2 linked regions of the Drosophila melanogaster genome follow. The protein of the gene in region 1 interacts with the protein of each later gene in a pairwise test. Each region holds a gene or a part of one and is shown on either strand. Other genes may lie near its edges.

Region 1 (3,603 bases):
TGATGTGGGAAATCTTTCAAAGAAGTACTCATTTCTAAATTTTAAGGGTCCTGGTTGAGCTGGCTCAGCTGCAGGACGAGGAGGTCGGCGATGGCACTACCTCGGTGGTTATCCTGGCCGCTGAGCTGCTGAAAAACGCCGACGAGCTGGTCAAGCAGAAGATTCATCCTACCTCCATAATCTCCGGCTACCGCATTGCCTGCAAGGAGGCCTGCAAGTACATCTCGGAGCATCTGACCGCTCCCGTTGATGAGCTGGGCCGCGATTCCCTGATTAACATTGCCAAGACCTCGATGAGCTCCAAGATCATTGGTGCTGACGCAGAGTTCTTCTCAGCCATGGTTGTGGACGCTGCCCAGTCGGTGAAAATCACAGATCCCCGTGGGCAGGCAGCCTATTCGATTAAAGCCATCAATGTCCTGAAGGCCCATGGCAAGTCTGCCAGGGAATCGGTGCTGATTCCCGGCTATGCCTTGAACTGCACAATTGCCTCCCAGCAGATGCCCAAGAAGATTGTGAACGCCAAGATTGCCTGCCTAGACTTCTCGCTGCAGAAGACCAAGATGAAGATGGGTGTCCAGGTCTTGATCAATGATCCCGACAAGCTGGAGGCTATTCGTGCCCGTGAGCTGGACATTACCAAGGAGCGCATCAACATGATCCTCGGAACCGGTGTCAATGTAGTACTGGTTAGCGGCGGCGTTGATGATTTGTGCATGAAGTACTTCGTTGAGGCTGGAGCCATGGCTGTGCGTCGTGTGAAGAAGAGCGATCTGAAGATCATTGCTAAGGCTACCGGCGCCGCCTTTATTACCTCGCTGACCAACATGGACGGTGAGGAGAGCTTCGATGCCTCAATGGTGGGAGAGGCCGCAGAGGTGGCCCAGGAGCGCATCTGCGATGATGAACTTATCCTCATCAAGGGCACTAAGGCACGGTAAGTGCAGATTATATCATGCAGTAACATAGTTTGCTTTATCGTATCCCTATGCCTTTTTAGTGCTGCCGCATCCATTATCTTGCGTGGTCCCAATGACTTCTACTGTGATGAGATGGAGCGCTCCGTCCACGACGCTCTGTGCGTGGTGAAGCGTGTGCTGGAGAGCAAGAAGGTTGTAGCCGGCGGCGGCTGTGTGGAGGCTGCTTTGTCGATCTACCTGGAGAACTTTGCCACCTCGCTGGCTTCCCGCGAACAGCTGGCCATTGCCGAATTCGCAAAGTCGCTGCTGGTCATTCCCAAGACTCTGTCCGTGAACGCGGCCAAGGATGCCACTGATCTAGTGGCCAAGCTCCGCTCCTACCACAACTCCAGCCAGACGAAGCCCGAGCGTTCGGATCTTAAGTGGACCGGTCTGGATCTGATCGAGGGAGTGGTAAGGGACAACAAGAAGGCTGGAGTTTTGGAGCCCGCCATGTCCAAGATCAAGTCGCTGAAGTTCGCCACGGAGGCCGCCATTACCATTTTGCGTATTGACGACATGATCAAGCTGAATCCGGAGGACAAGAGCGGCAAGAGTTACGCCGATGCATGCGCTGCCGGCGAGCTGGACGGTTAGACATTCTTCACCGCGAGCGAAGCACATTTCTTCTATCTTGTTTAGGCATTTAATTTTAATCAAATCACTCACTTTCAATTGTCGCCCCATTGATTGTAACAACAATTTAATTGTGTTGCCCTTCGCGATCTGTATTAACACCGCACATCCGCAATCCTTTCTCATCCATGCTTCAATGTATAATAAACTGATCTTCAGAATATGCTGAGGCGTAAACTAAATTGGAGGGAAACAGTTTGTTATTTCGGGAGAGCGATCTGGCCAAGAGCAGGCAGAGAGCGATCCGGAGAGTGGGATGTCCTATAAATAGAGCGTGCATCTATTTGGTCTATTAATACAAAAAGAAAACACATCCCAAAAAGCACGGAAAACGCACATTGCTCTACGAATTTTTATCATTTAAAAAGAATTCTTCATAAAATGGCCGATCATAACGAAGATGAAGCTGTTGGCGGTGACCTAAACAACAATATAACAGCAAATGGGCAGGAGGAAGTGCGTCAGCCGGAGCAGCCGCAGAACGAACTGCTGGACATGGTTTTCACGTTGGAAAGCGAAAAACAGGCACTACTAGAGGAGTCTCGCAAACGGATCGGAGCGCTCCGCAAAGACTTTGAGGTTAGTTACTCGTCTCCACGGGCTGCACCCACTTACTGACCCTGATTGCAGGAAGCCAAGGCGGAAAATGAGCGTTTAAAGCGGAGAGTGGTCCAGTTGGAGCAGTCGCTCAAGCAGTCCGTCATGCTGGGCGGCACAGATGCTCCCAAATCACGACAAGAGCAGGAGGAGCTGCTTCTAAAGGCCAAAACCCTGCTGTTCGAGAAGACCAAGGTGAACAAACAGCAGGAGCAGCAGATATCAGTGCTTAGGACACAAGTAGACTCGATTAAGGATGTGCTGCAGGTGACCAAGGACATGTTGCAGCTAAAGACCGCCGAATGTGATCACACGCAGGCTCGTCTGGAGAAGAGCCAGCAGTGGATCAAGGCGGAGCAAGACAAGTGTGTGCTCACGGAGAAGAAACTAGCCATCTCCAAAGGAGTGTATGACAAGCTGCGTTCGGAGTACGACACCCAGTCACAGATATTCAAGGTGCCTTATAACTCGAGTCCAATGATATACTTGATATACTATTACCTTCTTTCCCTACAGGATCTTAAGTCCGCGTACGAGCAGAAGGTCAAGGTTCTCACCAAGGCTTTGGCAGAAGCCAAGAAATAGCTGAACAATTTAATAAACTACGTTAATTAAATGCACACATCTCGTTAATAAGTTTAATAATTTAATGCTTTCCGTGTCTCGTGTCTCTGTCGTTCTCCGTAGTCTAGGAGCTCTGGGTAACCGCCGGCTGCGATTGCTGCTGCGACTGCAATTTCGCTGCAGCAGCCTGCTTCATCTCCAGCACACTCATCACTGAGTTATAGAAGCGCGTCTTTTGCAGGTGGATCTTTTCGATTTTCTCGATCTGCTCCTGCACGTACTCCACGCGTCGCTTGAAGTAGTCTTTGGAGCCTTCCAGATCCTGTTTGAGAAACAGATGGCAATCAATAAATATTCTAGGTTCGATTGGAAATGTAAATCACCTTTTCAATGTAGTAGCCGGTGCCGATGTCTATGACGAACCTGTTGAGATCCTTGACCCGTCCTGGCACATACATACTGCTGGTCAGGGGCACCAGGATCTGACGGTTCTCCCAATTGGGTTGAAAGGTTCCCAGCGCCTCCTTGGATCCGGCGTACTTGGCTTGACAGCCGTGAAGCGTCGACAGCGAGTCCTGTACGTTGGTAATCTCCTAAGGATCACAAAAATGTACCGATTTTAGAAGCATGTGCCAATTGGGGCGCCCCTCCTCCAGAAACCCCCTCCGCGAGCACACTTGACTCATCACACACCCACATGCGGAACGCACCTGCTCGAACTCCTGCTTGATCTGAATCAGCTGTTCCGGACTCAACTTGGTCAGGTCGATCATCTCGGACTTGGCGGGTGCGCTTGGGGTGGCAGCCATTGCTAGTGCTTACACTTATAATTTACAATTCCACTTTT
Region 2 (5,170 bases), 7.2 Mb from region 1:
GTAAAACTTCTCCAACAACCCGTCACAAATAACTAAAATATATTTTTTATATAAAGCCAATTTCTGCCCGTGTAAACCAAACCCAGTCGTCTATGCCCCTCAGCCCGGATTAAACTTTTCCATACTATTTTCGCCAAATATGGTCGCGATTTTTCTAACAAGATTGCGCACTTGTCTGAGCCAAGCTGAGTGCTACACACTCATGAACTTATTTAATTCGCGTATATTTTGGAATTATGAAAACTTTGGTTTTCCATAACTAACACATGTCAACGGGTCGGATTCGATGGCCATGATTTCGTTTTCGTATTTAGCAAGTTGCTCAGACTGTTTTGCTATTTTACAATGTTTTTCGACGTTTTCTCAAGGGTCTTTTCCATGTCTATGTCTTCTTTGTTTTTTTTTTTCTTTGTCTTTATAAATATATTGATCTAGTTTTCTTGCTTCGAAAACTTTTTGTTTTTAATGAATACAATTACGTCATTTTGTGGGTGTTGTTTGAGTTAATTTTAAAATTTTCATCAACCTCGGACTGGCAAATGTTCTCCAAGATAAGAGAACAACAAAAAATGGAATAAGTAAATACATATATGTATATATGTTGGGGCTATCAAATTGGCTTATATTTATAGGTTTATATTTAAAGACTTTAGTTGCATTCGAACATATAAGATCTCCAACAATTTTGTTGGCGATAAGATTAAAAGGGCGTGATCAACGAGTAAGCAAGCAATCTAGAAGGGCAAATATGCATATCACCAGATCGGAAACTCAACGATTATGGGGAAACTGAATTTCAACCGTTTTCACGTTTGCAATTTAAAAAAGCATGAATCATGGATGCATTTTCTTGCGAGACAGTTACAAAAAAACGTATACTTTCATATGTGACATTTATGATTGCCAGCAAAATGTTTTCCGTTCGCAGACATGACGTTGAAAAATCTATAGAAAGAGCTTTAATATATAGAGCAGAAAATAATAATCTGTAGACCTATGGGGGAAATACGTACGTATAACTACGTGAAACAAGATTTTTTGGCATATCAATAACTGAAAATTAAAAATAGAAGTTGAGAACATCAAAAAGCAAAACAAAACGATCCCCAAACCAATACACTCTCATCGGGAAAAGAGACACGATTGCCTAAGTATTGGATATATTTTGCAATGGGCAAAAACACTGGGTGAAAAGAGCTTTTCAAAATACGGGGAAATATTCAAAAATAGGCTGAAAGAAAGGCATTCGATTCGAAATGAGTGAGCATTACCCATACATGTGCAGCGAACAGGTGAAAGCACCAAGGAAAGGATCGGAAAAGAGAGGCAGAGAGAAAGCGGAGAGAGAGCGCAGGCGCCGGGCTTGAATGTGTGTGTATAAATTGTAACTGTATTTGAAATTCTGATCTTATGCTTTCCGTTACACTGGCAGAAATCGGATAGGAACATAAATTAAATATATTACGGGCTGAGGGGTAAAGAAATGTTGTACAGCTTTCTTAACTGGCATAGCCCATTTCACTTTGGAGTATTTTCTGAATGAAAAAAACATTTAATATAATTTATAAATGAATTTCAAAATTCAAATTTGTAATAACAAAAGTAGCATGAGTAAATGATGATAAATGATAAGTGCGACATAAATTTATAAATACATTAAATCAAAAGTGCATATTAAATGTCCTGATATTAGAAAGCATGCATGATTACATTAAATATGAGTATATAAATAAGAACAAATGCACCCCTTTGTTGATTTCGCGCAGTGTATAAGCTATTGTACCCCGGCCGAGCAATTTACCGATGCTCTTGGGGTAAATTGAGAGCCAAGTGCAGTTCCAAAGTAGGCGCAGACAGCAACAACATATGCTCGCTTTTGGCCGAAAAGTGCGCACTCTCGCACACAGATACTCACGCACACAGGCGCACTAGCGCGGCGGCTCACACGCACACACACCAGCGCAAGCCGCTCGAAATCGACCAAGCGGCGAGCATCGAACGTCAACATATTGAATAAATATTTTCAGTTGAACATCACAATCCGTTCAAGTCGCGGATAACTCCGAATAAAAGTTTTGTAAGTAAAAAGGAATACGTTATCGTTGATCAGTAAAAAATTATACAAAAAAAAATACAAAGATATCGCTGAATATTTCCACAAAAATACTTGTCGAGTGCTTCAAAAATAATTTTAACTGTGCTAGAATTCGATTCTTATTTAAAAAAAAGGATCGAACCAAAAAGTATAATTACATAACCACAACGTTGCTGCAATATCTAACTTAAAATCCACCAAAGTGCTGTGCAATTCTCAACCCTAATCATCCGCAAGTATTGAAAAAAATTGAAAATTTTCCCAGTTAGAATCGAAATAAACCCAAATAGAGGTTAAGCACCTTTGCAGATCGCGAAAAAAAAACTAAGAATAACGATTCTGGGGACCTTGTCAAGTTTGTCTGCTAACCGCAAGTTGCTATATAGGGTTTCAGCTAAACGTATTTCATGAGATATATAAACATGGTCAGTGGGAACTTCGAACGATCTTAGATTTTAGCGGCAGAAGTAAAGAATTAAGGCAAAAGGAGGATTATCGAGCTCTCTTTCCTCCTTTCAGAAACTAAAATTGTCATGTTGTATATGAGAAAGTAAGGGAATCATTCTTAAGATAAAGATCAATGAGATAGACTTCAAGATAGCTATCCTTGCTATGGAATGGTTTCCTGAATTATAATTTTCTTTAATCCAAAATGTTTAGGAATTCATTGAGCCTATTTTCCAAGTAACTGGGCAACACGCGCATTTACTTTGCAGTTTTGTATCTTTGAAATCTGATCCACGACCGCTGGCCCTAGCTGCCAAATGAATCTGAAGCGAACGTAGGCGAAATGCGCCAAGAATTTCCCAGAAAGCTCCCTTCCTCTCAGCTTAGTATTAAGTAATATCCGTGGAGAGGCTAGATATTCAACAGATGCCTCGGCTGTCCTATTTTTAGATACAATCCGTGTGTGCTACAGATACTAAACAGTGAAATAGAGAGCAGGAAAGCTGCTAGAGTATCGCCCAAGGCATTTGGCTAAAGAATCTATATGCATTAGACCCATTTGAACCAACGTGTGTATATATCGTACTCTAAGAATAGAAAATTCTGTATTCTGTATGATTAAATTCCGAATTTTCCATGCGATAATTTGTAAATTTTGTGTGGAAAGGTAGATCTTATAAGGTCGGATACAGATGGAAAATATCTGTAACTTGTAAACTAGGCAGAAAAGTAGGAATTGCGAGGTGCCAGTTCATAAGGATGGCTTGTTAGTTGGCCATAGTTAGTTAGATATAAAAAATGAGTTATACATATACGCATTTTGTTTCCTGAAATATTAACTTTGTTCCTAATGATAACGTCATTTCTTGATAAGGATGATCTTAATACTCATAAACCTCTTTGGTGTAGGCCCATTTTTCGATTATATATATGTCATTGCCGAAAGTTATAAGATGTCATGGGAATTTTGTGCTGAATCAACGCAAACATAACTCAATGTGTCACCTTAATCGACTTATGGCCCATACACATGCAGATTTATATATATATATATATGTATATCTGTGTGTTTTTTAAGCGAACAAAAAATTTGCCTCGATTGCGTTTTCATTAAAATTCAACGTTTTTTTTTTTTGGCTTTGGCTTTATTCGATTGGCGCTTTTTTCTCCAATGCCACTTCTCTTCGGCGGATCAGGCACAGGAATGTAAACAGAGTTTTTAAAAATAAATGCATGTTTAAGGCAGAACCACACAACAAATGACAGCGATGAGCCGTAATAAAGAATTAAAATTTCACGCGGCGAAATTCGAGTCAATTAGCCGCCGGCTGCACTCGGTTCGAGCCATGACAAATGTTGGTCAAGTGGGTTTCGTGTTGGCCAGGAAAGGCAAAGGGGGTGTCAATGGGCACCAAGGAGGGGCCAAAAAACCCACCAGCTGCGTTCACATTGAGTCAGAAGTCTGGAGCTGCTCGAGAAAAGGGGCAATAGCCCAGTGCAGCTGAGTGATTCATCTTGGGTTTTTAATTCGAGGATGGTAGCTACAGCATCTGCACTTTACTGATAAGAATGCAATTCCAAGATAAAGCGCACATTTGTAAATATAAATTGATTTGAGTAAACATATATGGCACCTAAGAGTATGCAATGATATATGTTAGTTAAAAAAATATATTAAATGAGCTTACTATCATTTCAAATCCTCATTCTACTTTCGAAGATTTAGAAGACTTTATCTATGCAGCAATTTCTTGGCCCAGATTGGAATCTACTGACACAATTTTGGCTGGTGACAGAACTCTCTATTCGAGAATGTACCCAGTTCGTCCAGCTTCGTTTGGCTCCACACCACGCGATCCGATGTGATCTGCATAAATAAACACCCTGCTTTCGGTGTTTCGAAGTATATCCCAGAAAATAAGGTTCAATTTTAGGTATTCTCGTTTAAATGATTTACTGTGACGAGATGAGAAAACACTCTCAAAGTTCAGAACATCAGCGAAAGAATCGGACAATAAAAGTCGTGAAGAGACGCCGTCGAAATATTAAATTCTCAATTTATCAGTTGGCTAAGCTCGAACAATGCGACTGACTGGCATCGAAAAGGGGGCCTTGGTTGTTTCGGTTTTGGCCAGGCCGAATAATTTATTGACTCTGCCACCTTTCGTCCAAAAATGGCTATCCATTATTGCAAAAAACTCGCTGTGTAGCTTGAAATGGAAGAAAGATCTGCCAGTTATTTTGATAACATGCAGATAAGATGGGAGCTTTAAAGTTATGAATTTAAATACATATATGTGCAGAAATCAGATTGCAGGATCCTCATGTAAATACACAAGTTATAAAATTGCTAAATTAATCATAAAATGCAAATGCATTTTCCATATAGTTTCACTTTCGCACAAGCCATGTTTGGACTTGAATACTACTCCCCTTGCACTTGCTGATTATCGCATAAATCTGCTAATTGCTTTATTGGCTTGCACTTAACCATGGTTTTAGCCGCAATCTCATCTCCATCTCCATCTTCGTTTCCAATTGCAGTTTCTTTCGAGTGCAGAGTAGCAAAACAAAACAGACATGGATGCCATCAAGAAGAAGATGCAAGCGATGAAAGTCGACAAGGAC

What was found.
Region 2: the proteins of CG5376 (region 1) and Tm1 interact in a two-hybrid assay, tested with the Drosophila melanogaster proteins (2 studies listed by BioGRID).

Annotation. Positions count from the first base shown.
Region 1 is NT_033777.3:22,487,256-22,490,858, reverse strand, and holds CG5376 (uncharacterized protein), read left to right. Parts: upstream 1-1,903; 5' UTR 1,904-1,976; coding exon 1,977-2,174; intron 2,175-2,225; coding exon 2,226-2,648; intron 2,649-2,708; coding exon 2,709-2,777; 3' UTR 2,778-2,826; downstream 2,827-3,603. Other genes in the region: CCT1 (chaperonin containing TCP1 subunit 1), read left to right, coding at 47-937, 1,001-1,556; Pfdn5 (prefoldin 5), read right to left, coding at 2,881-3,078, 3,140-3,349, 3,467-3,565.
Region 2 is NT_033777.3:15,279,527-15,284,696, forward strand, and holds the start of Tm1 (tropomyosin 1), read left to right. Parts: upstream 1-2,023; 5' UTR 2,024-2,077; exon of another isoform or gene 2,078-2,331; intron 2,332-5,086; 5' UTR 5,087-5,122; coding exon 5,123-5,170. UniProt on the Drosophila melanogaster protein: Tropomyosin, in association with the troponin complex, plays a central role in the calcium dependent regulation of muscle contraction.